Drosophila melanogaster: one gene and its partners. The gene in region 1 interacts genetically with each later gene. Each region holds a gene or a part of one and is shown in the gene's direction. Other genes may lie near its edges. The genes, in order: Ptp69D, Ptp52F, sas and robo3.

Evidence for each region.
Region 2: of Ptp69D (region 1) and Ptp52F, changing one enhances a phenotype caused by changing the other (phenotypic enhancement), as found in Drosophila melanogaster (one study listed by BioGRID).
Region 3: of Ptp69D (region 1) and sas, changing one enhances a phenotype caused by changing the other (phenotypic enhancement), as found in Drosophila melanogaster (one study listed by BioGRID).
Region 4: of Ptp69D (region 1) and robo3, changing one suppresses a phenotype caused by changing the other (phenotypic suppression), as found in Drosophila melanogaster (one study listed by BioGRID).

The regions. Positions count from the first base shown.
Region 1 is NT_037436.4:12,732,678-12,742,249, forward strand, and holds Ptp69D (protein tyrosine phosphatase 69D), read left to right. Parts: upstream 1-2,267; 5' UTR 2,268-2,475; coding exon 2,476-2,572; intron 2,573-3,380; coding exon 3,381-3,483; intron 3,484-3,575; coding exon 3,576-5,419; intron 5,420-5,478; coding exon 5,479-5,724; intron 5,725-5,782; coding exon 5,783-6,026; intron 6,027-6,094; coding exon 6,095-6,989; intron 6,990-7,048; coding exon 7,049-7,195; intron 7,196-7,251; coding exon 7,252-7,362; intron 7,363-7,431; coding exon 7,432-7,611; intron 7,612-7,675; coding exon 7,676-7,983; intron 7,984-8,044; coding exon 8,045-8,180; intron 8,181-8,242; coding exon 8,243-8,320; 3' UTR 8,321-8,891; downstream 8,892-9,572. Other genes in the region: small ribonucleoprotein particle protein SmD1, read right to left, coding at 946-1,306, 1,826-1,839; CG32112 (uncharacterized protein), read left to right, coding at 9,184-9,272. UniProt on the Drosophila melanogaster protein: Possible cell adhesion receptor.
Region 2 is NT_033778.4:16,170,505-16,180,117, reverse strand, and holds Ptp52F (protein tyrosine phosphatase 52F), read left to right. Parts: upstream 1-1,810; 5' UTR 1,811-1,946; intron 1,947-3,443; 5' UTR 3,444-3,464; coding exon 3,465-3,597; intron 3,598-3,749; coding exon 3,750-3,885; intron 3,886-3,946; coding exon 3,947-4,059; intron 4,060-4,119; coding exon 4,120-4,632; intron 4,633-4,696; coding exon 4,697-4,849; intron 4,850-4,914; coding exon 4,915-5,202; intron 5,203-5,266; coding exon 5,267-5,577; intron 5,578-5,651; coding exon 5,652-5,820; intron 5,821-5,887; coding exon 5,888-6,010; intron 6,011-6,075; coding exon 6,076-6,393; intron 6,394-6,466; coding exon 6,467-6,808; intron 6,809-6,877; coding exon 6,878-7,481; intron 7,482-7,540; coding exon 7,541-7,740; intron 7,741-7,801; coding exon 7,802-7,872; intron 7,873-7,932; coding exon 7,933-8,067; intron 8,068-8,125; coding exon 8,126-8,500; intron 8,501-8,558; coding exon 8,559-8,876; 3' UTR 8,877-9,006; downstream 9,007-9,613. Other genes in the region: CG8435 (uncharacterized protein), read left to right, coding at 9,335-9,358, 9,413-9,613.
Region 3 is NT_033777.3:7,160,253-7,166,763, forward strand, and holds the start of sas (stranded at second), read left to right. Parts: upstream 1-2,555; 5' UTR 2,556-2,788; intron 2,789-3,869; 5' UTR 3,870-4,107; intron 4,108-4,176; 5' UTR 4,177-4,268; coding exon 4,269-4,608; intron 4,609-6,511.
Region 4 is NT_033779.5:1,253,816-1,260,437, forward strand, and holds the start of robo3 (roundabout 3), read left to right. Parts: upstream 1-2,601; 5' UTR 2,602-3,075; coding exon 3,076-3,130; intron 3,131-6,622.

The DNA.
Region 1 (9,572 bases):
GATTATTAAACAAACAAACTTAGTATGCAAAGCAAAGCAACAACAGCTGCAGCCAAAATCACATTCTCAATTAAACCATAAACGAACAAATATATACAAATTCCCGGCTCTGACCAGACTTCAAAGGAAAGCAATAGAGCTGTGAAGCTTGAGCAATTGTGAACTTGAGTTAAAAATATAAAATAAAAAATTGTGTTATCAAAAGACATTCCTAATTTAAATTTTAAGATTTAAAATTGGCGCCTTACTTTTAGCGGGTATCCGAACCCGAATAGCGATAATTGATCGGAGCAAGTTCCACAATTTGACATTTCGATATATTATCGGAACCGGTTCAACCTGCCTTTGAAAACTTAAACAAATCACTTATATTTTTTTGTCCTTAATAATGGGTTTTAAAGTGAGGGTTACTCCATTATCCCTATATCTATTGTTTCTTTTGATATGTTTTCCAATCCGTTACTTAAAGTAGAATCTCTTAAGTTAACCAGTTTTAAGGCGATGCCCATTTCATGGGTTTAACATTGTCGTTTGTTTCATTGTTCACCACGCATCCTAATGGCAGTAGTAAATATATTTGAATCTATAGCCTAGCTTAAGTAACACAGTTTTCTCCTACTATTGTTGAACATTTGAAAGACATTTTGTGCGTCCAAAAACAATTAAAAGTATAAAAAAGCGTTTTTACAAACTTTCAAACATTTTTAATCATAATTTAATGGCGGGAGTCTTCTTTCAATTTGTTGCCAAGTAAACACATTTTTCCTGAGCTACTACACAGAGTGATTTTTAACAATATACATATTCAGATGGAGTTTCTTTACTAGCTGAAGACATTTGTCAGTTGTTCGTACATAGTAAATGCATACAGTGTGGATTTATCCAAAGAATATTTATATTCTATATTTATCGAATATTGTTTATTAGATGTAGCTGTTACAAAGATTAACGTCGGCCTGAAGCTCGGCCCCTTCCGCGACCCCGTGGACCACCTCGTCCGCGGGCGCCTCTGCCCCTGCCGCGATTTCCCACGCGGCCGCTGTCCTTCTTTTTTGTCTTCGACTTCGGGGTGTCGTCGATGAGGAGCGTCTCCAGCGGCAGGCTGTCCGGCAGTATAAAGTATCTGATGTTGTTGCCGCGAATGCTCAGCGTCTCCAGGTGGACGGGATCCCGGTTCTTGATCGTCATCCGAACGCTCTTCAGGTGAGTGTTCATGGCCACATCCACGCCGGTAATGGTGCCGTGGATCTGGGTGCCGTTCTTCAGTTCGATGGTCACGGTCTCGTGACTTAGCTTCATAAGGAATCTGTAATGCATCAACGGGAAGATTAGTAAACGAAATTAAGGAAATCCCTGTTGCAAAGATGCAGCATTTCAGAGATGCAAGGCTATTATAGGTAGAAACAAATATCTTATTGGGTGATTGAAAAATGAGATACAATAAGGTGTATGCAAGCAGCCTTTATGATGAAATATACTTAGTAGAGCCTTTACTTTTAGCAAATTAGTACGAATTTAAAGGTAGCTTGTATTTGGTGGCCTTGGATTAAGAGCGTTGATTGCATTGAATATAGTTATGCAAAATGCTACTTAAAGTGCAAGAATTGTTACCAGATACAAGTAAATAATGGAAAACTATTATAATAACAGATCAAAACAACATTCGTATTAAATTAAATTTTGTGTACAAAAACAACAAATGGGAGCATCGCTTTTGCATGCATACATGTGTGCAGAATCGCAGAACTCAAAAACTGAATGAAACTATACTGCACGCATTGCTAACAAGTTTAGTTTTAGTTTAGGTAAATGACGCATAACATACCTTACTAATTTCATGTTTTTATGTGTTTTTGGTGGTTTTCTGCAAAAAAAAACGCGCACAAACAATGCCGGCTAGTTTACTTGGAATTTGGTGGTTGCGGTGAACTGTTGTATCGTGTGCTAAGATAGCAACGCTCATTGGTATTGTAAAATATATCGGCTACCAAACGGAATCGTAATAAAAGTGAATATGAAGTAATAAATGAATTAATGCATTCCAGAAATAAATTATAAATTTGCAACAATTAAGTAACAATTAATGTCATACTGCTCTATAAATAAATACTTGTGTCTTATTAATTACTCATGTTAATAAATACGATTACGATTATATTATTATAATATACGATTATATTCCAATTCAGTTGTTCCAAATCCCTTGGTAACCGCAGCCAAGGGTACATATTCGACTGACTTATCGATAACGCCGCATATCGCGAAAAAAAAACAATCCAGTGTTAAGAAAATAACGATTAATACTTATTCGCGGTCGCCGTCTATTAACTGGTTTTTAATAAAACACATTTGTCGGTGTTTTGCACTCGCCGCGACATTAGTTCAACGCAGTAGAGCTTTTTAACTCAACGCAGACATCGAATATAATTTTTGACATATGTATTTATCCGGCTCGGAGTGAGAAATTAGCAAGCCATGGCGTTACTCTACCGACGCATGTCGATGCTATTAAATATAATTCTTGCATATATTTTCCTTTGTGCGATATGTGTGCAAGGATCTGTGAAACAAGGTAATGTTTCAAAAACTCAGACGAACATCATAATTGGTACATACATACGTACATCAAGAACCGTTTGTGGGTGTCAACAAATTGCAATGTCTCATTTTTTTTTTGTGTTGTTTTTGCAAATGTGAATGGAGTGTTTTACATTAAGTTGGAAACTGGAATTATCATTTGATATGGTGGTTAACAAGACGGTTGTATAGTTCTTAGATACAGTAGCACTCGAACTATGTCGGTAACGCCCAAAGATTACGGCGATGGGGTGAGATTTCAATTGGGGCTAAACAAAAGTAGTCGCGCATACATATGTACACACTTCCCGGTACATACATACGTTTTATGTTTCTGCGTACATACTTATGTACATCTATCTGATTTATCTGAAATATAATCACATATATATATATTTGTAATATTTCTTCAGCTAAATACGTGTTGATTCCGAAATTACGCCGGATTACTACCGCGAGTTTTATGGCCAATATTGTGGGTGTAGTTTCATTTTTATGTCTGGCTTTTACCGCCCATCCAGAAAAACCTTTCTTGGTGTCCATCATAAAACTTAAAATTTAATAGGAAAGTTAAATAAGAAATTTTCCTTCAATATAGTTCTAATTTGAATATTTTACTAAATCGCATAAAACCCGGAAGCTATAATCAGATTTAAATATACACAACCATTAATCAGGAAGATATATTTTAAGTCTAACATATTTTTAGGCTGACAGAAGCATGTTGCTACTAGATCGGTGTAATTTCTATAATTACGTCTATATACAAAACTGATAATTATTTTAATGAAATTTATTTACAGAGTGGGCAGAAATAGGTAAAAACGTATCTCTAGAGTGCGCATCTGAAAACGAAGCAGTAGCATGGAAGCTGGGCAACCAAACTATTAATAAAAACCATACAAGGTTAGTAACTTATTGCACAAGCATCTAAAAATATTTCTGCCCCCATAAAGATGGAATAACATAATAATCTGATCATTTTTCGATCTTTTCAGATATAAAATAAGAACTGAGCCATTGAAATCCAACGACGATGGCAGTGAAAACAACGATAGTCAAGACTTCATCAAGTATAAGAATGTCCTGGCGCTTCTCGATGTCAATATAAAGGACTCGGGGAACTACACATGCACAGCCCAAACGGGGCAAAACCATTCGACTGAATTCCAAGTTAGGCCATACCTTCCATCCAAAGTCCTGCAAAGTACCCCCGATAGGATTAAGAGAAAAATCAAGCAGGATGTCATGTTGTACTGTTTGATCGAGATGTACCCACAAAATGAGACAACTAATAGAAACCTCAAGTGGCTTAAGGACGGCAGCCAGTTTGAATTCCTGGACACCTTCTCGTCCATTTCGAAGCTAAACGATACGCACTTAAACTTCACCCTGGAATTCACAGAAGTTTACAAGAAAGAGAATGGCACCTACAAGTGCACCGTCTTCGATGACACCGGACTCGAAATTACCTCCAAAGAGATTACCCTTTTCGTAATGGAAGTGCCACAAGTTAGCATTGATTTCGCCAAGGCAGTTGGTGCTAATAAAATATACCTAAATTGGACCGTTAACGACGGCAACGATCCAATTCAGAAGTTCTTCATCACTCTGCAGGAGGCTGGAACACCGACTTTTACTTATCATAAGGACTTTATTAACGGCAGCCATACATCGTATATTCTGGACCATTTCAAGCCGAACACAACCTATTTTTTAAGAATCGTGGGAAAGAACTCGATTGGCAATGGCCAACCCACCCAGTATCCCCAGGGAATCACCACGCTTAGTTATGATCCCATATTTATACCAAAAGTCGAGACCACCGGCAGCACGGCGTCCACGATAACGATTGGCTGGAATCCACCGCCGCCAGATCTCATTGATTATATACAATACTACGAACTGATTGTCTCCGAATCGGGCGAGGTGCCCAAAGTGATCGAAGAGGCCATTTACCAGCAGAATTCTCGAAACTTGCCATACATGTTTGATAAGCTTAAGACCGCCACAGACTACGAATTTAGGGTAAGGGCATGTAGTGATCTAACCAAGACTTGTGGACCATGGTCCGAAAACGTGAACGGCACAACGATGGACGGCGTGGCAACAAAACCCACCAACTTGAGCATACAGTGTCATCATGACAACGTCACGAGAGGCAACTCCATCGCCATTAACTGGGACGTTCCCAAGACGCCAAACGGCAAGGTTGTGTCATATTTAATTCACTTGCTGGGCAATCCCATGAGCACAGTGGATAGAGAGATGTGGGGACCAAAGATTCGAAGAATCGATGAACCCCATCACAAGACCCTCTACGAAAGTGTTAGCCCGAACACAAACTACACGGTGACGGTGTCTGCCATAACGCGGCACAAGAAGAACGGCGAACCGGCCACCGGAAGTTGTCTAATGCCCGTCTCCACGCCGGATGCCATTGGCCGTACCATGTGGTCAAAGGTGAACCTGGACTCCAAGTACGTTCTCAAGTTGTATCTACCGAAGATCAGCGAACGCAATGGGCCCATATGCTGCTATAGATTGTATCTAGTTAGAATTAACAATGACAACAAGGAATTGCCGGACCCGGAGAAGCTAAACATCGCCACATATCAGGAGGTTCACAGCGATAACGTGACTAGAAGTAGTGCATATATAGCGGAAATGATAAGTAGCAAGTACTTTAGGCCGGAAATATTCTTGGGCGATGAAAAGAGATTTAGTGAGAACAACGATATAATCCGCGACAACGACGAAATTTGTCGGAAATGCTTGGAGGGTACTCCATTTCTGAGGAAACCCGAGATCATTCACATACCCCCACAAGGTTCACTATCAAGTAATTAATATAAACTTTATTTATTTTTTTTTATTTGAAACTAATGTGCTTTTCTTTAGATTCCGATTCTGAACTGCCCATTTTGTCGGAGAAGGACAACTTGATCAAAGGAGCAAACTTAACAGAGCATGCTCTGAAAATCTTAGAAAGTAAGTTAAGGGATAAAAGAAACGCGGTGACCAGCGATGAGAATCCAATTCTAAGCGCCGTCAACCCAAATGTGCCACTCCACGATTCTAGTCGAGATGTCTTCGATGGTGAGATAGATATTAACTCCAACTACACCGGATTCCTAGAGATAATAGGTGCGTAATGATTGATTTTTTGAAAGCAAAATGGTAATATCATGTTTATTTTCCTCAGTTCGGGATCGAAACAATGCCCTGATGGCTTATAGCAAATACTTTGATATAATTACTCCGGCGACTGAAGCTGAACCCATCCAATCCTTGAACAATATGGACTACTACCTAAGCATTGGGGTCAAGGCTGGAGCCGTATTACTTGGTGTCATACTTGTATTTATTGTGCTGTGGGTTTTCCATCACAAGAAAACCAAGAATGAACTGCAGGGCGAAGACACTTTAACACTAAGAGATTCTTTGAGGTAACTAGTAATTGTTTGATCTTCTTGATGTGATTTCAATTAATATTCAATTGTTTCTTCACATCAAGCAGGGCATTGTTCGGTCGACGAAATCACAACCACAGTCATTTTATAACTTCCGGAAATCACAAAGGATTCGACGCTGGCCCCATTCACAGATTAGATTTAGAAAACGCCTACAAGAACCGACATAAGGACACTGACTACGGATTTCTGCGGGAATATGAGATGCTGCCAAATCGCTTTAGCGATCGGACAACTAAAAACAGTGATTTAAAGGAGAACGCCTGCAAGAACAGGTATCCCGATATAAAGGCTTACGATCAGACGCGCGTAAAGTTGGCTGTCATCAATGGCCTGCAAACTACGGACTACATCAATGCTAACTTCGTAATTGGCTACAAGGAGAGAAAGAAGTTTATCTGTGCACAGGGTCCAATGGAAAGTACCATCGATGATTTTTGGCGAATGATTTGGGAACAACATCTAGAAATAATTGTGATGCTTACAAATTTGGAGGAATATAACAAGGCCAAGTGCGCGAAATATTGGCCAGAAAAAGTATTTGATACGAAACAGTTCGGAGATATTTTAGTGAAATTTGCACAAGAACGTAAGACTGGTGATTATATTGAACGTACCCTGAACGTTTCCAAGAACAAAGCCAATGTCGGCGAGGAGGAGGACCGTAGACAAATCACCCAATACCACTACCTAACGTGGAAGGACTTCATGGCACCAGAGCATCCACATGGCATCATCAAATTCATACGTCAAATCAATTCCGTCTACTCCCTGCAAAGGGGTCCAATTTTAGTGCATTGCAGTGCTGGTGTGGGTAGAACCGGAACCCTGGTGGCTTTAGATTCCCTAATCCAACAGCTGGAGGAAGAAGACTCGGTGTCCATTTACAACACAGTGTGTGATCTACGACACCAACGAAATTTTTTAGTCCAATCTCTGGTGCGTAGATATGGAAATTCCACTCGTAGTTGCTGTAATAACTTTCTTTTTGCTTGCAGAAACAATACATCTTTCTTTACCGGGCTTTATTAGATACTGGAACCTTTGGAAACACGGATATTTGCATTGATACAATGGCTTCTGCAATTGAATCTCTTAAGCGGAAACCCAACGAGGGTAAATGCAAATTGGAAGTGGAATTCGAGGTTTGTATAGTTTGTTATCTACTTGCAGGCGTTTTGCTTATTACTATTTATTTCAGAAACTACTGGCCACAGCAGATGAGATAAGTAAATCATGTAGTGTGGGCGAAAACGAGGAGAACAATATGAAGAACAGAAGTCAAGAGATTATACCCTACGATCGCAACAGAGTAAGTAATAGTGGCTAACTTTTATGCGAACTGTGTTTAATGTTTGTGAATGTTTTTGTGCAATTAAAGGTTATACTAACACCACTTCCGATGCGGGAAAACTCAACTTACATTAACGCATCATTCATAGAGGGCTATGATAATAGCGAAACCTTCATCATTGCCCAGGATCCACTTGAAAACACTATAGGAGACTTCTGGCGAATGATCTCGGAACAGAGTGTTACCACCCTCGTCATGATATCCGAAGTGAGTAGTGCCCTCTCTACTTTATTGGTTTCCCATTCAACTGAGTGCTTTAATTGCATTGCAGATCGGAGATGGTCCCAGGAAATGCCCGCGATACTGGGCAGATGATGAGGTTCAATACGATCACATACTCGTGAAATACGTGCACAGCGAAAGTTGTCCATACTATACTCGCCGCGAATTTTATGTTACGAATTGCAAAATAGACGATACGCTGAAAGTCACACAATTTCAATACAATGGTTGGCCCACCGTGGACGGAGAAGTTCCTGAAGTCTGCCGTGGCATTATAGAACTTGTAGATCAAGCATACAACCATTATAAGAACAACAAGAATTCTGGTTGTCGATCTCCACTCACAGTTCATTGCAGGTATGCGGCGATGCTTTGATTCATGCACTTGACGGATTAATCAATTATAAATTATTTGCAGCCTGGGAACCGATCGAAGTTCCATTTTCGTCGCCATGTGTATTTTGGTCCAGCATCTGAGGCTGGAGAAGTGTGTCGACATCTGTGCCACAACAAGGAAATTACGATCTCAGCGAACGGGACTTATCAACTCATACGTAAGTGAATTTGTTTATATTTTATTGTCAATGCATTAATTAGATGTTTATATGGTTTCTAGGCACAATACGAGTTCCTACATCGCGCAATAATTAATTATTCAGACTTACATCACATAGCCGAGTCAACATTGGATTAAGTTAGATATGTATATACTTATACGAGTACAGAATGCACGTGTTGGAACATCAATGCATCAAATGTGCTATGATAAATTATTTGTATATTTATAAAATCTTTTAATAAAGTATTTACAAGAGCAAGCGTAATTTTTTTAACGAATTACGTTTGCCCGACACATAATATACATACAAATATAAATGTAGTGTATACGTATCGTATTGATAAAACTACCAAAGGAAAATAAGTAACATATTTTATAAGATACAATGTAATAAAAACTGAGAATAAGAATTGTACTTTTTATGAGCTTGATAAGTGTGGTTTACATTCTTTTTGGTTGTGTGGATTAATGGTTTTCGAATTTTCTTATAATAGTTTTGAATATTTCACTTATCAGTTTGTAAAAATGACTTCATTATGAACGTATTTAATATTACACTTTTCATTTTGTAAATATGGGACAAAAAATCCATAAAATTAAGTAAATGTATTTATCGTTTTTCCGTATTCCTTTATGTGTATTGATAAATTATAAGTACTACAATTTATTTTTAATAAAATAAAAATAAGCAGATTTGAATTGTTTCACATACCATTGTTTCAAATCGATAAGTCGATAAATATGATATACCAACCTGACATAGAAACCAAAACCGATTTCGTATTTTATTATTTTTTTTATACTAGTTTTCAGATTAGTAGACATTGCAAAAATTAATAATCCGAAATTTTTGTCAGTTTTTAAAATTGGAAGTCTTATCACCATGGAAGTTTCTACGCAGTTATCGATAGTGCAATAAACGTTTTACCATCCCTACCGTACGTATTGTTTATTATTATTTTGGCAAAACAAGAAGCCCCATTTGCCATTTTCCGAAGATGCCGAGTAAACTAGATAGCATATATCGCCGCATGCTGATAACGAGGTTCTTCGAAAAGGGATGGGGCAAGCCGGAAAACCTGCGCAAGTGAGTTTTTCATTGAAAACGGAGAATGGCGAAAAATAAGTGCTCCCCATACGGATTCTTTACGTAATACTATTATGATTTCAATTTCAATTCAATTTCCTCTAGGTTATTTAAATTACCGTTAATCGGCGGGCAAGGGAAAACTCTTGTCCTTTTAGTTTACAAGATCTTTAATGGTTTCGGTGGGCTTTCTTTTAAACAAGTGCCTTTGAATAATAATAAAATATAGTTTGACTTATTAATTAAATATATATTTGCTTTTTCCTCTTTCAAAGGCAACTAGATGTGCATGTCCCTATT
Region 2 (9,613 bases), on another chromosome or scaffold:
CACTTGCCTTTGCTTGTTTATTTGCGTGTTTCATTGATTAGCACACACTCACACACGCGCCGGCGAGCAAATGCAATTGCAATTTCAAGTGCAAAAAGAGAGAGGAAAAAGGAAAACAATAGCCAAAAAAGCTTTGAACTCCAGCTTTAACCCCACGACGGGCATCGAATGCAGGGACTAACCGTTAAGTGCCGAGACTTTTTGCTTTGCCTTTCTTTAACCCACTGCTGGAAACGTGCAAAAAGCTCGTCACTAGATAATAGAAACAATTTGCAGTGTCAGGAGCGCTTTCCACACATTCTGGGAAATCGCAACGGGTCTTGAATATCTAAAAGAATGCCGCAGCAAAAAAGCCCAAAACGGAAAACTGTAAAAAAAAAACAAAAACAACTACACAAGCACAACGAAGAAAATAAAACGAGATTTCTTGTGCATTGGCAGAACTGGTTTGCCCAGTAATAGGTGTTGTTGGCCTATGGGGGAACGGGAAGTACATATATGCAAGGAATCGGCCAGTTCGGGGACTCGACTTGGCTAAAAATCGATCAATTCTACTTTTGGCGAGGGGGAGGACTCCAAACATGCGCGAAAATCCACAGACATCGTCACTCGCACACACACACACACTCGCGCACGCACACCAACGCACTCGATGTGTCATCGCTTTCTGGTGGTTGTAAATAAAATGTAATCATAGTTCGTTTCTCCACTTATTTACTGATCGTCTTTTTGTTCAACACACTACTTTTTTTGTGCATAATTTGCATAACTCTTTCGCTTGTTTTTTCATTCTCTTTTCAATAACAAACACAATAACAACAACAGTTTGAACGAAAATACTGTTACGACGGCCATCTTGGATAGAGAGAGGGGGCCAAGAGAAAGAAATGTCCCAAAGGCAATATGCATAATGGGGAAAAAGGACAAATATCCAAGCGCACATATAGTATATTATATTTTCCGACTCCAACCGACATGCTTGGTACATAATGCGCGAACTAACACTTTGCCATTGGCAGTTTTGTACATATGACGTTTTTTTTTCTTCATTTCTCCCAATAGCCCATTACACGGGTTGGTTGCGAAAAATCCATTTTGCTTGGGTGTTCTATTTACAACGCGGCGACTCGGTGTTTGTTCTTATTATGCAGCGAACGTTACTTACAACAATTTAGTATTTCATATATTTATAATTACGCTTATTTATTTATGTTTAATCGAAATATACGAAAAGAATTACGCAGAAAAGTGACGAGCGGACGAAAATGCTTCGATTAGTGTGACCGCAGTGGAAGCAGCTCAAAAAACATCACGGGACTATCGATGACAGCGATTAGCTATCGATGTGACTAGGAATGTAGAAAAATGTTAATAAAAATATGTATAATAACTTCTAAATACTTTTTATATCTTATATAAGACCTAAGGACTGAAACCATTGAGTAAAGAACGAGTTGCCATAACTTAAGCCCTACTTCCATGCAAGCGCAGTGTGAACAGCTTAAAAAATTGGCGCGCTATTTAAAATGCTGATAAGGAAATGGACCTTCGTCAGCTTTTTTTTTGCGGAACCACAACGCCTATCCGTGAGTGAACAAAATGGGTTTCCAATTATTTATGCCATATAAGTATTGCTATTTATTTATAACACATCCCAATTCGATAGTCAACACTGCAGTTTGCTAATTGTAAACCGACTTTGTTGTTATCTTACACACACATTCGCGATGGGAGTAAACTTTCCTTATCACCGCTCACACAGCGCCAGAACACAACACAACCGATTTATGGAGTGCTCCCTTTGGCGCTCAGTATTCGAGAATCGCTCAGCGGAAACGGTTATTAGTTTACTGATTTTCGGGCGACACACACACATTCGTTATTCATAGTTGGTGCGCCCAAATATTCGCGAAACAGCAACAACAATTAGCAACCATCTGTCACCTGTGAGTGCAGCGTATCGTACACAATCTCAATCGCTCATTGGGAAAATTGCCGAATAATGTAAATCATTTGCCAAATTTGGGCACTCGTTGTGTGTTATCAGTGTTTGAGATTTAATCAGCCATTTTGTACGCATTACATTATATCGATATAGCCGCTATATCAGCCAATTCTATGGCTCTATAGATATATGTTAAATATGATTCAGTTTAGCAATGCTTGCTAATCCTGCGGTAGCCGATCCTCTTGGCCACATTAGCGTTTAACTGGCGAAATCGAAAGCCATTTATGAGCCAGCACCGTATGGCTGTTATCAGACCGACAACTCTGATGATTATATGCCGATGATAAAGGCCGCTTGTTCGTTTGTAAACGTTAAATTGTTATTATTGGCTTACTTGGTGTTTTGGAAAACCTCGGCGCGCTGCGATTTGTTTAAACAATCGGGCACAGACATTGGCAAATTGTCAACGTTCCATTGCCACACTTTCTGATAACCAAACCCATTAATAATGATCGGAAAGTGTCATTTTTTTTATTTGCTCCAAAGAAGAGCTGTCTTCTTCGCTTGCTTCCGTTGCCGGCAGCGACAACTGAAATTAGTAATTAGTGCTGCCAATTTGAGGGTACGGAATTCTTTCGATTAGCAAGCTCTTCGATGACGCACTCAGCATATCGGCAATATAGTCTATATATCTATATCTATATATCTATTGCTATACCCATTCCATTTGCGACTGCGTGATGGGATTGCAAACAGAGCCGCGATTCGAATTCGAGGATCGTCGTCGGCGATTCTCTGCGATTTTAGCGAATCTGTCGTTAATTTTGTTCGATTATTATTGGGTTGTCCAACAAGCCAGATTACTATCTGTATCTATATCTGCTGGCCACTTCTCCAGCCTGTGAAGTGGCTTGATAAGATTCTAGGGATCCAAAAAATCCAACAAAAAATTCAGAGAATATTGCGACATGACATTGCTGGAGTTTCCAACTTCATTCTCATGAATTTCCGCCGCATTAAAAGGCTTTGGGTGTAAGCCACGACATTGAGATAACCCCCTTTTTATTTTTTTTTTTTGGTATCTCGACCATTTCGTTTATTTTTTTACATTTTCCACTTACGTGTGGTATTTGTGAAATGATCATAAATCGCTCGCTGGAAGTTGTATGTATTACATTTAATTTTTGTTGCGCTGGTCAGCAACTCGGGGAGATCCAGAATCGTTTCCCACATCGCGAGATATGCAAAAGTTCGGCGGCCACTAATTGTTTATGACCAATCACCTTTCGTTTGCCCACGTCCAGTGAACTCTTATTTGTTGTGTTTTGTGTTTATAAACAAATGAACAGTGTGCATGCGAGCCAAGTGCTTTGCAATTGGGCGAGGTTAATGCTTCGCGGAAAATCCCGCGCAGGAACCGGTTGCATTAGCTCCCCGCCGATAACAATTTGTTATTAATAATTAATAACGCATCATTACTCACCGCAAAAAGCAGCAGAAGCAATGAGGCCCTAAGATGGAAGCCACAAATTGGAAGCAATCGCATCGAAGGATTCACGCACTAATCCTTATCCTTTGGATCGCTGGGGTGCAAGGACAAACCGTTGGTTCCCTGGTGGCAGTGAGTGAGAGCCAGGAACTGGCGGAGAGTAAGTATTACTCTTTGAAAAATAAGCATATGGATGTCACTGATAATATGATATTAATATAAGATACACTGATATAAGATACTTTTCAAATCCTAAGTGCATCCAGTTTTGTTTTAGCCTATAAAAAGCTATATGTATTACCAATATTCCAGAGGTGGAGGTGACTGTGGTTTCTACGGTCTACACACTCGGCTTTAGCATCTCCAACGAGGCGGACTACTCCATCGATAAGGTGATCTGTCGCAATGGATCCGGATCGGAAACCGAGGCCAACGCAGCGCACGTTTGGTTCGTAGAATGTTTTGAGTGAAATGATATCGCGGACTAACATAATGCCTATGATTTCCAGTGAAAACCTTAATCCTTGCACCTTCTACACATCGGTGGTTTCATTCCGTTCGAATGTCTCCGGCAAACCACCGCCTTCTGACCAAACCATCTATGCCTACACTGAATATAAGCGTATGTTTATATAAAAATGCTAACTATGAAAACCATAAACCATATCATCTTTAATCGCAGAGCCCAAGACCACAGTGACCTCAGTGGTGGCCACAGCGAACACCATCAAAGTGACCTGGCAGACGAACGACCGCGCCTGTGTGGAGTCCTTTGGCATCACGGCAAAGGCGACGGACTACACCAAATCCTTTCAGCTGCTAAACGATAAAAGTTCTCAGACTTTCGTGAATTTAAGCGCCTGCCTAACGCACACGATCACCCTGGACACGCGAAACAACGCTAGCGTTGTGGTGGACACGGATGCCACCGATGTGGACACACAGTACGCGGAGCCCGGCGATCTCGTCATGAACGTAACGAACCTAGCCAGTGGCATCACGATGATCACGTGGGGAGATCCCTCCGAGAAGAACTGCATCAGTAACTATGTCTTCAAGTGGCAACGCAACGATTGCGGAACGGATCAAAATCAGGATACCACCACGGATGTGCCCAGTACGGAAACTACGAACGAGATTGACTACGTTACCACCACACCAATGGAGACCACACCCGATACGCCCAGTGATGAAGGTAGACTCTAGGTTCCTCTTATAACCTCTTTTGAAATACATATGTGTTTTATTCTTCCCATCAGTTAAGTGCGAGTGGACCGATGTCTCCTCCGATGGCAAGCTGAGGGAGTACCTCCTGACCGATCTTCAAGGATGTGATTTGTACACCTTTCAGGTTTTCATCAACGAGAACAGCACGGCCAAGGCTTCTCAGACTTTTACTTCGGCAGAAAAGTGTGAGTGCAACTAGATAGACCAGCTATCCAAGTAAACCATAAATCACCATAATTCAAATGTTTAGTGGTCAGTGCCGTCTATGAACCCAGTCCCACCGCCTATCCCACCCAGTTGCATTGGACTTGGTTCTCTCCACAAAATCATCCCAAATGTGTGGCTAACTATAGTGTAACGCTGACCGGACCCATTCAACGATCGGAAAACAAAACTATGAATGTGATCACAGAGGAGACATTCGCTATCTTCGACGACCTTGATCCGTGTGGAATATATTTGGTGGAGATTGTGCCCAATCAGCTAAATGGAAGCGCTGGCACCAAGTACCAGGAGCAGAGCACCGTGGGCGAGGATCGTGAGTGCAAGTGCGCTTCAACTCATCCAACATCTATCTATCTACTATGATTATCTTCTTGTAGAGCCATCTGTGATTCAAGATCCCGTCGTGGAAGCAGAAGCCTACTCGATGGAGGTGAGCTGGAAGACGCCCGAGTACGCCGATCTCTGCATCGATGGCTACCGATTGTCCGGCTGGATGGAGGACGATAAGCTGGTTGAGGTTGAAGCACTTAGTATTACCACCCAGAATACGACGGTTGTTTTCGACAAGAATCTGCTGGCCTGTCAGGTGTACATCATTCAGATAATCCCATACACCAAGGAGAACCTCGATGGTCAGCTGAGACAGGTTGGTGTGGAGACCAAAGCAGCTATAGTTGATTACACTAAGGTACTAAGGACTATTTTACGTATATTTCGTATCCATTTGACCATTTCTTACTGACTGCAAGCATTTTATTGAAGGTCAAGCTGGAAATGAAGAATGCTGGCTCCGAATTTATTGATTTAATCGCCTTCAATGCGGACTACAACAATTCCTGTCCGACGATCTTTGCGCTCTTCACGTGCAATGCCACCACCCAGGTGCGAAATCCATACGCGGAGCGTTATGTGGAGGGACATAGCAAACAAGGTGGGTGTACTGGTCATCCAGTCATTCGGTATCCAGATGGCTATTCTAATTCATATTCCATTCTCAGGTTTTAATGCCAGTCTAAGTCCACTTTCCCCCTACGCCACCTACGTTTGCAAAGTAATACTCTACAATGTGGCAGGACCTTCCGAACCAGTTGTCGATGCTGATATGCACACCACAACCTACTGTAAGACCTACATTATATACATATGTATATATGAAGTTCATATGTAAGTTGATCTGTGTTTTCAGTTCCCGAGCAGCCGGAGAGTGTGATGCTGGAGAAGAGCACTGTCAGCAGCCTGCTGTTCAACTGGCAACCGCCCACCTACACAAACGGACCCATCAAGTACTACCAGGCATTCCTGATGCGTCACGAGGCCAGCTACTTTGTGCCCGCGGATTGCGCGATAGTCGAGCAGGACACCAAGTCGGAGACCAAGGGTGATCCTAGTGTAAACTTCACGGGTCTGGCTCCAGCTGTGCGATACATGATGCAAGTTGCGGCACAAAATGACTTCGGAATGGGCGTCTATACAGAACCCGTAATTGGTATCACTTTGCCAGCAGGTGAGTTAAGATGAATAGATGGAATATCTTTATATGAGTAATATGAGTAATGTAAATATTTCGTATCTTGTAGTATCCGATAGCGTGACCCAGTTGACCGTACTAACCCAGGGTCCGGTGAACAATAACGCCGTGTACGAAGCGAACGTGACTATCACGTGGAAGGTGCCCTGCAAGTCCAATGGCGATATCGAGTATTTCCAGCTGGCTTTCAATGGCACACGAAATAACTTCGCTCCAGTTTCATTTGAACGGCGGGTGGAACTGGACACGGGGAATAAGCAGGGACGGATGTCCTACACGGAAACGGAAATGCAGCCACAGTTCGACTATACGGTTGAGGTGTCCGTAAAGAATCGCGATGTGGAACAGTTGAGCAGCAGTGTACCGGGTAGCTGGCAATCGCCAGCGGGACGTAAGTATCGAAATAACGGAAAAGTAATCCGTAATCCATTGATTCCCATTCGTGTATCTTCTCTTTCAGTGCCCACCATTCCGAGTGATGAGCTTATCAAGCAAATGCGCGCCAATGTCGAGGAGACATCTAATCCAACGAAAACGGCCATTGTTCGCCTTCCAGCCGACATCATGACATCCGCATCCGGCGACATCAAGTGGATGGCACTGATGATCTCGCAAAAGAACTGTGCTGGAGTTCCACACCTCAAATACGATGTCAGCAGCGATTGGCCAAAGGTTCTATCCTATCAAGAGGCCGGCGCAGATGGCACAGGTGACTGCAGTCTGGAGTACCAAACCACCGAGGAGCGCTGGCATCCCGAACCCGTTCAACGTCAGCGAAGGGATGGAGAGGTGACATCCGATGAGGAAATTGTTTTTACCATCGGATTGGACAAGTGTTCGGAGGTTCAGAAAACGTATTGCAATGGACCTTTGTTACCAGACACGGATTACAATGTTGTGGTGAGACTGTTCACCGCATCTGGTTATAGCGATGCCGCCGTACTCAACTTTAAGACCAAGGCGGCCATCAAGGTGACCCTGATCCTGGTGAGCGTTTGCAGTTGCCTGCTGCTGGCCTTCGTACTTGGTTTGACGGTTCTCTGGGTGCGCAAGCGATTGGCCTGGTAAGTCAACGATGGCAATCTTCACGAGAGAAAAAAGAACTTAACTTCGTTTGGTGCAGGAAACGTGATTCTGGTCAGGGTATCGAGGATCCATTTGGCAATGTCATTGCCAAGAACTTTGCCATCTTTTATACCGAAGTTGCCAAGCCGGAGAAACTGGCCAGGGAGTTCAAGGAGATCACCGTTGTGGCCTTGGAGCTCAGCTATTCCGCCTCCGAATTGGGTTGCCACAAGAATCGCTATGCGGACATATTTCCTTGTGAGTAACTTCAATGTAGCAATAACCATTATGGGAAACCACATTTTTTCCCATTTAATAGATGACAAGAATCGCGTGATTCTGGACATCGATGCGGAGGGATCGGACTACATCAATGCCTCCTTCATAGATGTAAGTAGTTGTTATAGCTAATCCTTAAGGAAGATCATCTTAAGTGCATCCACTTCACAGGGTCACACGCGTAAGAAGGAGTACATAGCCACCCAGGGACCAAAACCAGAGAGTGTGATGGACTTTTGGCGCATGATCCTGCAGTACAACGTGCGGGTTATTGTTCAAGTTACCCAGTTTCGCGAGGGCAATACGGTAGGTACATGATTAGGTCCTTGAGATGGAAGCTAAGCCTTCTTTGTCTTGTCAACAGATCAAGTGTCACGAGTACTATCCGTATAATGTGCGTGGATTGACTGTGACTATCAAGTCCAAGGAGGTTCTGGAGCTGTACGATCGAACTGAGTTGACTGTTGTGCACGACAAGTACGGACTGAAGGAGAAGGTGATCCACTACTATTTCAAAAAGTGGCCCGATCACGGCGTGCCCGAGGATCCCATGCATTTGATTATGTTTGTGAAGAAGGTGAAGGCGGAGAAGCGACCCAGTTACTCGCCCATTGTCGTCCATTGCAGTGCGGGAGTGGGCAGGACGGGCACGTTTATTGGCCTGGATCTGATCATGCAGCGATTGAAGAGCGAGTCGAAAATCAACATTTTCGAAACGGTCAAAAAGCTGCGATTCCAGGTGGGTTTTTTTTTCAGTGCCATTGTGGATTTATCTCATTACTTCTCCACTACTTCAGCGCATGAAAATGGTGCAAACGCAGCAGCAGTACACATTCCTCTACGCCTGCACCTATGAGCTGGTCAAGCATAAGATACCCAGAGCTGCGTTGAAAATGGATGGGCGTCCCAAGTCCGTGACCGTGCCCGCCATTCCCTCTCCCAAAAAGGTGAGCTTTCCGGACGTGGATGTGGGCAGTGAGTATGTGTCATCCGCACCGATCACCGATTTGGATGACGGTAGGCCCATCGTGCAGCTGCCTTCTAGGTTCTCCGGACTGCGGAGGAATAGTCCACCGGGCGAAAACGATAACCCAACTAGCAGCAGCAATATGTGAGATGAGCTGTGTTCTTGTAACTTTTGTATTAACGATGTGTTGACAACGCAGCAGCAATAATAGCCAAAGAAATATGTATCTAAATTGTATATTAAGTGGAAAGTGTGGATATAAATTTGGTAATTGCATTTGAAAAACTGTTTTTGTACATAAATGTTATTTATAAAGAAGCGCATGTATAGCAGAAAACTATAAGTTATTGAACTTATTTATTAAATTGGGCAATGAGCAAAGAATTTACAAAAAGAGGTATCGTGTATAACAGTTTATAAGAGTTTTTATTAAATTCAAATTTGGCGGTAAATGCAATTACAAAAAAAGGTAGGAGCGAGACAACTATATTTTCACAACGGCGGATTACGCCTTTGAGCACTGTTTACTGCACACATTTTACAGCACTGTTAGGCAGATAAATAAATTGTATTTATTTTAGTAAGAAATAAATCGTAGTCTTCAAAATGTCCGAGCGAAAGGTCTTAAACGTAAGTAAATACATCTTAAGCTAATAGATCGCCACCTGACCGACTCCTCTGCAGAAATACTATCCCCCGGACTTCGATCCATCGAAGATTCCGCGCATGAAACTGGCCAAAAACCGGCAGTACACCGTGAGATTGATGGCTCCATTTAATATGCGCTGCAAAACGTGTGGGGAATACATATACAAGGGCAAGAAATTCAACGCTCGCAAGGAGGACGTGGAGAACGAAACGTACCTGGGCATCAGGATCTATCGG
Region 3 (6,511 bases), on another chromosome or scaffold:
TGTGCAATGATACCAATCCGCACAGCTTTCAAATAAATAAATGTGGGTATATTACTTATCACTCTGCCTGCCTTAATTCATTTGACTTTAATCATCCAATAATAAACACTAAAATGTAGATCAAACAAAGAAACCCGAAAATTGAGCCAAATATATTGACGTAATATCAAGCAAGTTTCGGTGCAGAGCAAATTGGTTAAATGCCTTTTGTGAACAAATAAGGAAAAATGAGCCAATTTAATGCGCACTGACTTGACTTCATTTTACTCGGTGTCGCTGCCTTTTGAAACAGTCCCAAATTCGAGATTAACTGGAAAGAGATTTCGTCTGGTTTCATGGCCTTAGTTTGGCCAACTCTCTTCGACTTTTATCATGAGATTTTTTCTTTTTTTGATGTGTAACACCACGAATGAAGACATTACCAACGAACAGCAGGTGGAAAAAACGAACTGTGAAAACTTGGCCCCTCGCAATGGCATCCGAAAAATTCATTTTTCGCGTTTTTATATAATGTGGATATGGCTTTTCGCTAATTTCGAATTTAATTTCGAGTTTCTATGTAGATTGTACTCATAATTAAGCCAATTACTATTGAACAACTTTCGCTGCTCTTCGTCTGCGCTATCGCATTGCATGCGATTGGGTAAATCAAATCACACAAGTATCAGGTTTACCAGGTCCCATTCCAACGATGCAAGGAAGTGGGTGCTTAGGTCTGTGGCCATTTGGTAGCTAGATAATTGGCTATCAGTGGAAGACCCATTGGTAGTATGCAACTTTGGAATTTTTTACAACACTTCTAGTCTTCTTTTCTTTTGCTTAATTTATATTTCTTAATTTTTAATTCTTAATTCCTAATGCTTTAGTATTCATATGTTGTGCATTTTATGCAAAAGACACTACTTGTAGTTTCCGTTTTCTTGCAGCGTTCTTTTCCTTTGCATACATTGAGAAATGCTCCATTCAAAAACTGTGAGCATAAACTGAAGTTGCATTGTTATTATTATTATCTTTTTATGTTCGCCTGTATTTTATTAGCATTAGCATTAGCGGCTTCTCAATGACGGTGCGATAAGCCCCAGACAAAATATATGTATGTATAAACAAAGGGAGACAATGCAACTTTGGCCGTGTTTGTGCAACACCAAAAAAAGCGCATTTCTGCATTATTCTCTGATGTTTGCACGTTAATGTATGCAACCACAAGAGCAGCCCCAATAACATAGAAACTGTGTGCACATTTGATACTTTTTGACGTCTGCGAGCAGAGAGTTGAGAGTTGAGTTGGATATGATTTGATTTGATTAGATTTGAGTTCTTCAGACACACATTTCCTTTTTAATGACGGTTGGCCAACTTGCTGCCATTGATGTGTGATGACGGTTTCTGGGCGCGTCTCGCATCCCAAGTGGAGAATTGATATTTGCATCGATGGCATTTGATGGCGGTGGATCAGTCAGTGATCGGTGGATTTATGAATTTGGGAGCAGCTCCGCAGATAAGGCCTTCGGAATGGCGGTTATTTGGGTTTGCTAATAGATATTGGAATTTCATGAATCTTTCTAGTTTTATTTAATATTTCGGGTATCGCAGTAAAAATAACTTTTATGTAGTTATATATACATATATCGTACTTTCCTCTATAGAAACCGATTTGACCTCGACTAGTTTTTGGGTTTTAATAGCGTCGGCGTACTTATCTTATCTCTAGTTTTACTTATCCCAAAGTAATTGGTTAAATATTATTAGAACACCAAACATTTAGGGATTATAGTAATTATTTCACATAATATAATATAATATAGTACTAATGCTATCCTTATACTAATCATTTTTATCACTCACGAGTGTTCAATGTACCCTACAATAGGGGTGATAAGGTATCACCTTATCACTTATCATTTCACTCTTTCGAAGTAGCATAGAATTTCTTTATTTAATCATATTTACGAAAGCTGTAAATGGGATTAATCTCTTAGTGCCGCTGTGACCCCAAGCATCCCTGACTCATGAACACTCTGGATCTACGAGTATGGAGATGCAGGGCCGCTAATACGAATCTACGCTTGTGCTCTTTCAAAAAGTCAGACAAAGAAGTCGAGGAAGAAAGAAACCGAAGGTAGGCGTAATCGGAACGATGAATGCCAACTCGGCTTGGCCTGGGTTTTTCAATGGGATTGAGTTTTTCGCCATCCAATTGGACAGTCCAAATAGATCGCGCTGAGTTCACTTGTCAAGGAATCGACTATTGCAGTTGCCTTGCCAAATTGAAAAAAAAAAACTCCGTCTTTGAGTCTTGTGTATGCATCATGGTCGTCTTGTTTCGAATCCAACGACTTCTAGAGAGGGCCTTTCGCTCACTACACCCACACTGGCAGACAGCAACAGCCTAGACACACCTGAGTGTGGGTGAGAGCGAGCATTCAACCACGGGGTAATGGTAATGGGTATTATGTATTACGTGCACGGTCTCACCTGTTGCGCTCAGCTGACGCGCGAGAAGGAGCCAGCCAGATGAGAGCCAACTAAGAGTTGGCCGGAGAGCAACAGCAAACCAGTTACATGTTGGCAGCCTGCAGATGCAGACCGTGGTGAGTTGGCAACGCTACCAGCCAAGATCCGTGCCGCCGGAGAGATCAGTTGGTGGTCGTGCTTGAGACGGAGCGGTTGGCCGAGTGCGATCGCATTACTTTGCGAACGATTTATATATACATATAAACCGCGCTGCCCACAAACGTGGCCAGATAAGAGGAGATATATACCAATACCTATACCTATTTCTCGCCGGGTTGGTGCTAATCTTCGTTTTAAGCGTGCCTGCGTGTGTGTGCGGTTGTGATTTATGCAAATCTTTGCTTTCTTATTAAACAAACACAAGATCTGGTAGTGAAATAAACGGCCCAGCAGAAGAAAAGAGAACCACGACCGAAAACATTCCATTGGAAATACCGAAAACACGTTTTCTCCCTCCAGCTCCGAATCGCTTGTTCGCTGTTTGCTTTCTGCCATTTGCCATTTCTACAAAAAAGGAGTGAGAGTGAAATGTGAAATGCGAAATGTCAGTGCAAATAGCTATCAACTTTTACAATGACATCACTAGATGTTAGCCAAAAGAAATATTAACAATTGCCAGCAGATATGGAATAAATAGAACCGCACGCTGTCTAATTGCCTTCGTACCAATATGGCCAAAAAGGCGTGCAGCAAATTCTGCGGTCTGCAGCCGTTTTCAGTTGCAGTTTCTGCTGCTGCCGTTGGAACCGGTTGAAATATTTTGCTATCGCAATTTGGGTCTAGGGTTTTTTGTTGCTGGCGTTGCATTGTAGCGAGTTGCATGAGCATCGACTGCCTTGCATATAAACAGTATATCTTTTTTTAGAGCCCAATTGGCAGCCTTTGTTTTTGGCAAGCTGGTTTATTTGCCTAGTTTCTGATTTGAATGGTGAGAAGTAAACATTGTGCTGGCGGCGTAGTCTTAAAAAAATGAAAGATATTTATGAGCTGCTCTAGGCTTAGGTACAGAAGTTGTAAATCTAAATGAAATATGCTAAATAGGGTTTACGTATCGTAAATCTACATAGGTTTTCAAAAATTCGGACACATTCAAAACTATGCGAAACTTTATAAAACAAAAGACTTGGGAAACGAACTTGCGTGAGTGGCATCGAAGATGTTTACGCTTTCACACTTAAATTGGTCATTACATAAATGTGTGACATAGGAAATGCTTTAGATATGCGGCGTATTTGGAAAAATTAGCTAATACTTTTATTTCGTAGCTTAATTAACTCACATATTATTTTTGATTGATTGAGTCAAGAGTAAGCCACCCCTATTTTCAAGCTAACAACTTTCCAATTTCCGCGTAGGGCGACCTAACAAATCACTCAACAAATCGGCTGGCAAAATATAGACTTGAGTTGACACTTGAGAGATCGTTATTCAACCGACTTTCAACGGAAATGACAGCATTTGGGGTTACCAAAGCGAGTCAATGACAAATAACAGAAACCGCTGCCACAGATGTCGTGTGAACTAAAATAACCGCATAAGAAAATCCCGCACCCCAAAAGAGAAAACTAAATAATAACTAGTGAACAAAAGTAGGTAATGAGTTATCGAGACCCTTCGAAACGTTTAAAAGTGCATGTAATTTATTTAATTCCATATTTATAGCAGATTACTATAAATTAACAATAACAAGTGCAAACGTGTGAGAAAAATCAAAGAGGAAAAGCCAAAAAGACGGAGCACAAACATAAACCAAAATGCAAACGTGTAGAAGAAGAAAAGCCTCCGGCGGCCAATCCACGATCAAGTGGAGTAGAATGTGCCTGGCCACTCTCTGCGGATTACTTTTGCTTGGCATTCAAATTGAGCGTGCGGCGTCTGCGCCCGCAGGCGAAGACGCAGCGGCCACAACGATGCCACCTTTGGATACCACAACAGATGCCCCAGACGCCGTTGCAGCCACCACCACTCCAGCCACAACTGCCGCAGAACAAAGCAGCAGCATCAGCAGCATAACCACCGAGGCGGCGGATGGTTCAACGACTTCCACGACGACAACAACTGAGGCGGCCAACAAATCCAATGCGACCGAAACTGGTGAGTCCAAGCCGAAAGCCATGAAAATTATAGATAGACGGCATCTACGCGACGACGCTCGCATAGCTGGGGCATCTCATCCCGATCTCCGGCCAGACACTTTAATCCCGCCTAGCCGCGCTGTGCTCTCTGCGCCGTAATCAAATCTCGTTCTCTGAGCCACCAATTAACGCCGTGCCGGTGCGTGACTTCTGGTCCGCCCTTTTTTTTACCCATTTCGTTTCGATTTGTACGGCATTTCTCCATAATTATTTTCCGATTCGGTTAAATGGAGCGAACAAGAGAAATTGTTTGACTATTAATGGATGGAAGAATATTTGAAGATATACATAAGCGGTTTCCTGTTGAATTACTTAGTTAATTACGCGGCATATTAAAGGGAAAATATTAAAATTTCCGGCCCTCAAGCTCAATCTCGGAAACCAATTATACGAGAAATTATTATTCGTGCTAGAACAAGTGAATGAACTTAATTAAATCTTAATATATTCTACTCGTACTACACCCAAGATACTCAAGATAAATTGAATTATACTTCTATTTCGATACAATTGATACTTAATATAAAATAAAAAATAATAAATCAGATTAGATTTTTTTTTTTTTTTTTGTAATTCTGTTGAATGAACACATTCACATTTAGGTTATTAGGATAACTGGAGAAATTCGTTTAACCAGATCACCTGAGATGGAATGATTAACTTTCACACACGTACCTTTTGCAAAATAGATTAATCGGGCAATTCCATTGCCGAGTTCTTGGCTGTAACAGATTTATAATTATCTAGAAGGTTGTTTGGGCTTAATGTCAGTTGCACACCAAACTCTTCACGAGGCAAGCACTCCGTCGTAAAAACTTCAATTGGTTTTTCATTGTTTTGATACTATTCCATCTAGATTCATTGATGACTCGATAAAACGAGGTCTAGCAGGCCACACACAGGTCTAGATCGATTGAGCATAGGTTGTTGCCATGGCAAGTGGGAATGCATTGTTTAAAAGGGACTGGCCTTTTTTAGCCGGTCTAAATGCCACGGGAAGTTAATGAGATTTAACAGCAAACATTGGGATGGTGGTAAGGTAAGCCTTCACAAATTACTCAATTTAAATGCAAAGCAGCCAACTGTCATGACTCATGCCCTTAACCTACGTAGTCCGTACCATAATCTTGGAGTTAACTTTGTTAAATTTTGGGTGTTAACTTTGTACAGAAACACGGAATGTCTTTTCGCGGGGGCTAATTATATAAGTATGTGCCCAGGAAATTAGCTAAGAGAGATAAATAGCAATTAGTCATTGACAGATGTGATAAATGAAACACCTACAAACTTGGAGAAGAAACCGCACCTGATTACATTTTAAAATGGGTATTTCAAGTGATGCAAACTCTTATTTTGCCAGGCGTTGAGTGGGTAGCTAGTGGATTGAGGATTTGGATTTTATAATTAAAACAAGCACATATGTATTAGCAAATCAATTATTGGGCAAGACTTTAGACAGTTGATAAACTGGTTTCGTGTTATAATTACAGTTACCGAAGCAATAAATATAGAAATAAAGCTAGACTAGATTTTAACGAAATCATGAAAGTAAGTGCACAATATTCATTTTCATTTTTAATACAAATTTCGTGTTTTGTAATGCATGTCTTTTTGGGGATATTATGCTATTATCGACCCGTTTTTGGATTAACCACAATCCAAATAAAACATTTTGCAAATTTGCAGCAAATTGTTTTCAATCTGAGGAAAAAATCAGCAAAGTAATACTAATGAGTTGGAAAATTGTATACCACAACTGGCTGCAGTTGTACTTGAAAGTCGAGTACATAAATCATTTATGTTAATTTTCAGTTTTGCGGTCTGTTTTGGGTGCTAAATTATGGCCTTGATAGAGCGCGGGC
Region 4 (6,622 bases), on another chromosome or scaffold:
CGAAGCGGGGGGATAGCGGCGGGAAAACTGGATGCCGTCTCCCTTTTGCGGCTACACTGTAACGGCTTTTGTGTGCGGGTGAGTGCTGGCTTTGGCATTGTTTTCCTGCACGGATATCCTTAATGAGTGGAACTGGGCTACCGCTTCTCGAGCAGCAGCATCACAACAGCTGCCACCCACAACCGTCATAATTACCCCGCCCCCTTCGCTGGACCAGAACACCCTCCACCATTTCCCCCACCCAGCTGACAAACACACTCGAGCTCCTTGGCACTCAAGAAACTGAAAACGGGGAGCTGGCGCTGGAGAAGTCCTGGCGGGGGTCCTTCGTATCTCTGACCACATGAGCACATAAATCTTCGGGCACGGTGGCAGTGGCGCCCCCTGACGGACGGACCCAGCTTGACGCCCAAAACCACGCTGCCAAGGAATGCGAAAAGTGCCTTCAACTTTTTATGAAATATGGGTTGACAGACGGCTCATCTGTCATCTAATAAATGCATTTAAAATTAAACAAATGCGCGCATAAGTGCTGCAATCAGTTAGACATTATGATAGATTGGTAAATTTATAAATAATTATTTAATTTATACATGATTTGGTAAAGGAACTCATAATTTGTATTTATATTTGTATATGTTATGTCCTTTATAGTTGCTTTTGACCCACTGTGCACAAGCCCCATCATTATGGGCGTGTAATTATCACGATGATCACTTTTCAACATAACCAAAGCGAGGAAACTTTTATATTAAAAGTAAACTTATGACAAACGAGCAAAAGAAGGCCAGCTGGAGGAAAAGTGGAGTCCTGGACAGTGGAGTCCTGCCACACACGCGTCACATCTGCAAGAGTGTGAGTGGATGTGTGGGGGTGTAAGGATGTGTGGGTGTCCATTGTCAAGTGTAATTTATCATTCAGTCAACGTTCTTCGATTGCAGTTTATCTTCGGAACTTACTTTACTGGGTCGCCAGTGTAATTTCCCACTCCCCCCGCATCTTTCCATTCTGTCTGTTCTCCGGTTCTCCCTTTTCCCACGAGTAAAAGCAGAGGAAAGTGTACTAGGGGAGCAGCAAGGATATTCCCTCGGAGTTGTTATTGTCCTGGCCGTAGAATGAATGGCAAATCAGGAAAATCTGACCCCCAGGTTGTTAGTTTTCTTGCAAGGATTTTTAAAGCCAATGGGAGCAAAATAGCAATTAACATGGATTTTGAAGCATCCACCTCGACCTCAGCCATCCATCCCTCGCCCTCCCTCCCCCTGCTTTTCCATTGAGTTCCTCCTGGTAATAATCGGAAATAATTGAAGAAAGAGAAAAACAGCGGGGAACGGCAAAAAGAGAATACTTACCGGACTGAAAAGCCGGGTAGCGGGGAATGGGTCACATCCTTTGAAGGATGTTTGTGTGTGCAATTTGTAGCGTTTTAATTGTTGTTTATGCGATCTAGAATGGGGGCGAAAGGAATGATGTGGTGGGGACTCCTAGGGCGCGGGGACCCAAATGCATCACCACCGCAAGCCACTGAGCTAATTTTGATTGCGGTGCCTGCAAACGACAGGAATCAGCAGGTGAAAGACGATGTCGGCTCCCGAGATCCTAATTAACTATGCCACTGATGTTTGGTTCGATTCAGCAGATTGCCCTCAAATGCGGGTTAGCAGCAAGTTGAAGTGCCTAATGCCCCGGGGGAAAACAAAGAACTCGAAGTCATGTGAATAAAGTCAGGGGATTGATGAATATGTAGAAGGATATGAAAGCTATCAAATTAAAGTAATACTTGAAATGATTAATTATTTTGATATTAGCAAAACAATAGGTTTCAATCATGACATTGATATCTGTAATCAGCATCTATTAGGAGTGTCATTACTGTGCAACTGGAATATATCTTATCTGCATCGGCATTTAACGGCTATTTCGAAATATTCAAACTTACTCGCTGCTTTTCTGGTTCTCATTCAGTGAATATATTTTACCATTCTCTCACAATGTTGTAAGCATTCAGAGAGCGAAGGAATTCCGGTTGAAACTCCGAAAATGTTGTTTATTCGGCCAGTGCGCAGACTCACCACTTTTGCCGGCAGGATTCAGCAACAAATGTTTATGCTCGCAACTGTGATGATAAACAAACCTGACTGAGACCAGAAACTACAATGTTGAGAAGCCATTTCAATATTATTTATTTGTTTTTGGAAATTTTAAAAACCCTATTGATATAAGATAAACACCAAACTACCATTAGAAGGCTGCCATTTTGTTATAAAATTTACTAGTATGATTGTACTTTACGGAAACACATAGCATTACAAACATTACAGAAAGCCTCTTATATGATGATACCTCCTTATCATACGGAATTCGATTACTTTTCGTTTTCCCGAGCTTTCCCCGCTGAAACAGCTGATTTGCCTGCAGGAATTTACTCCGAAATGTTGCTCTTCCGACTTCCCCAGTTCCCCGAGTTCCGAACTGGCCGAGCTGCTCCGAAGGCCGGAACTCACCACCCAGCGAACATTGCTGTGGACTGTTCCCGGTCTCCGGATCTGAAGGAACCCCATATCGAGTTGGCCGTGGGACGCCGTTCAGTTGAGTTTTGGTTACTGCCGCCAACGGTTATCGAGCTGAAAGTGAGCGCGTGTCGAGCTTTTTTGGTGCCCAGTTGTTTGGGCCAGCTTCGTGGGCGACTGGATTGGCAGCAAACATAAACAAACGAAGTGCGAAATTGCTCGGAAATCAGCTAATTGACACAACGGACATGCGAGGGCCAGACTTTGGCCAAATTTGGCCTGGCCAAAAAGGAAGCGGAAGTACTGCGGCCGCAAAATACATTGTAAACTGCTAAACTGCAGGGGAAGTGTAGCGAATAGTGTGCGAATGGAAGTCGAGTAAAAATCAAGCAACTCGAATAGATATATATATCTTTATATCCCTGCGGGAGTCGCTCCCCTGTGTCTGTGTGCCGGTGTGTATTTGTGTGTGTGTGTGCCAGGAGTTGGGCTGGGCAAATAAGTGCTCGTGCTCAGCTTTTTTAGCCAGTTTATCTTAAGGCGAAATACTGTAAAAAATTGTAAAATGGATTTACGTTTCGTATTCATCGTTTTCCTGCTCAAGTGGACCCATGCACAAGGTAAGCTCGAATAAAAATACACAACTGGTGCAAAAACCTATCCTGGTCATGGACTTCCTTCCTTCCGTCCATCAATCCATCCTATCCTCTCCTGCGTTTGCCTGGCATTCTCTGTTTGTGCAGCTGCCACAAGCTCTGGGTTCTGGGCTCCGAGTGGGTGGATATGGATGTGGATGAAAGGCGGAGACGGGTGCAATTCAAGTGCAATTCAGCCGGCCTGCAATTGCAAATATGCCATAGAAAATTGCTCAACAGAGACAGAAGTGCCAGCTCGTGAATGCACGACATTTGTATAGCTCTGCGATCCCGTAATGAGTTGCATTTAACTCATCCGACTCACTTGGCCGAGATGTTTTGGGAGCCGGGCATATTTATGATGATTGCCGACAGGTGTTGAATGGCTCGTCCAAAGGCTTGCCAGAATGTTGGTTGTCAGGCTTGGATTCACCTGAATGCTGGTTTATTGATACGTAGACTTGACTGGGAATCTGCATTCCGGAGACAGACTTGTCCCAGAAAGATACATAAATACTCGGCATTAGTAAATGGATAAAGTCCGTGCTGATAGCTGAAGAAGCCACCAAAGCAATTTACTAAGACTTAAAACTTTGAATCAAAATGAGCTAAGAATAGACTGAAATATAATTCGGTTATTATTGATAAATCAAATGTTGAATAACTAAGCTTGGTAACATTTCACACATAATATTCCAAGTAGTAGAGTTATTGTGGCAACACAATTTCCATTAAATCTACACTCTGAATTAATTCCCTTGCTCATCCTGCCTAATCGCTACCAAACTTTAGTTGCCAGATTAGCATATTTCCTGATTTGCATTTATTGGCCTAAACTGGCAGATAACTTAAGGCATTTCCCGAATCGTTCCATCCGCTCAAACATGCTTATGCGTAATGCATTGATTACTTCCTCCCGAAAACTTTTGCCAACTATAATTTATAACTCTTGCTTATCTCACCAATAAGTTGTAGCCATCAAATGGGAATTCGTATGAGCAAAACTTTTGTGCCAGACGCAAAACAATTTCCGCTGCTTTCAGCCCAACAAATTAGTGGAAAATGTTCTGCCAAGAAACGAGAAACAAGCCGGGGATTCCCCTCGGGCTGGCTAACTAAGCGAAATGAGTATGAATTCGAGTCGTGGCTCTGAATACAAGTGAGTACTCAGGGGCATGGCTCAAGCGGCATGTTTTTGTTGCATAAAATATGCGCATTTAACAAGGGGCTTCCCACACTTTGCCCCAAAAAGCAAACATATAAATGTGGGCCCACAAAAAAGCATTTCTGCCCGGCCACAAATGATACAAAAGATTATTCATATTTTTCGGAGGTAGCACATATACGAGTATGTATGTATGTACATATGTACATATGTGTGTGTGCGGCCATGTTGCCGCTGTTCAATTTGCGTTTTTTACGCTTGGATCTCCTTTTTTGGTTAAGGGCATTTTTATTATGTAGTTCATGCATGTAAACGAATTCAATTGAATAATATCCTGTCATTTTGTTGTTACATCCTCTTCGGGCTTTCCATTATCCCCCCCCCCCCCCGAAATTCTTTTCCCGGCTGCTCCCCTCGTTTGGCATGTCAAAATTTTTATCAGCGCACAAAATCCGCCAATGCAGGATGAAGGATATGGTGGAGTAAATAAATAAATCCCGACAACACGCGTGTCCTTGTATCGCCGTCCTGCTCGCGCAGATCCTCTCGCCCGCTCCCACGCTACTCTCGAAAGTATGCAATAAATTTCGAACAAAAAATATATTGGCATTTTAGTGGGTTGGCTGCCTTCTGCTCGTGTGCGGTGTATCCAATAAAAGAAAATTAAATACTTTCAGCGAAAGATTCTTCTTTTGGGTAAATTAATCGTACCTCTGTATTCTGTCGGAGTTTCAGATTTTTTCGCGTACCCAAATATGGATTACAATTCACTAAGTGCCTTTAATTCGAGCTTTATTTATAAATATAAATACAATATTTTCCCATATCTGTTACAGCTTTTGGCCCAATTCGAATGCCAGTTTCGCAAAACGGCTCCCAGTCGTGTGCCATAATTTTCGTTTCCCAACTTTGCCCAAGTTTGCTTAATTTATAAATTATGCATTATGTAGACTGCGTTACCAGGCAATTATCATTTTCCCGGGAAATTGCTGGGTCGCTTGTTTTGCTCCTGGTCTCTCGCCCAAGAAAGTAGGCTACGCAAAATTAATTTCTGCTGTATGTTTTTGCCTGTGTGCTTGGCTCGGCTCGGCTCGGCTCTTCATGTGCGTGTGCTTATTTATTTGGCTGGGATTCGAGAAAGGACTCGGATCGGTTGTCTTGTATTTGGCCCTCGTGCCTGGCGGCTACCGAAAGCAAAGGGCAAAAACACAGGGCCATCCGCACGGCGAAGTAGGAAAAAGTTTGGCAGACCGGAATATTAATGAGTATTTAACCTAAATTGTTGCTGCCTTTGATAAGTGCCACGGAATATTCCCCATGTAGCAACGAATCTATTCTTGCCCCTTAGCCAGCGGCATCAATGGCAGACGAGAGAATTGGCCGTCTCTCTGCGGAATGTGTGGGCTTCCCTCGTAACTGAGGCATTAAATTACTTTAAAAGAAGGGGAAAAAAAGGGTTAAATTATTTTAGATGCTAGAACGAACCCCATCGGCTGCCTTTAAGACTTTCCGCCCAAAAACTCGAAGGACCTGCTCGAATTTTGCTCTTTTCCGACTTCGGGGTCGGTGCCATGAGAATAGGTATTATTTGGCCAGACTCGAGTTAATTGAAAGGACGAAGGTATTTATTCCTTCAGGGAGAAGGACCCGGTCGGCAAGTAATAAAGTAATATGGAATTAATCTGGAGTCCATTAAATATAGAAATATTTGAGAAATTGAAAGCCAGTCGGGTAGAGATACAGTATTTACTTGGCAGTTTATCAAGCACAGTGGCAATTGACTAGGAAAAATTTCTACATATCTATGGAAAATTCAATAAGAGAGGTTCACAGTTTTATTGAGTATATCAATATGTTGAAATAACTAACATTAGTTGAAACTACAAGCGAATTAGATAAATGAAACAACAAAGCTGTGCAAAAATATTTGGCTTAGTATAAAACCCATTAGCTAGTCGAATATTTATTTTAGCCAACTCCTACTGCTGTTTTTACACACACAATTTCCATGCAAAGCAATTACCAGTTTCCAGTTGTATTCACAACGTCCTGGCAAATTGTAATTTATCTTAGCCTTGGGCCAAAGGACAATTCAGGCAGATAGTCCTGTGGCAAACACACAAACACAGCCGCACATGAGCATGCGAGGGAAAATTTTAATTAATTTCAGCATCAATTGAACGGCTGTCATAATACAAATAGAGCAGAGATGCGCACAAAAACACACAGGACACTTGTTTATTTGCTTGCTGGTGCAAACGCACTAGGCAAACAATGGCCACAAAGGACATGCAGGACACCATTCAAAGCTA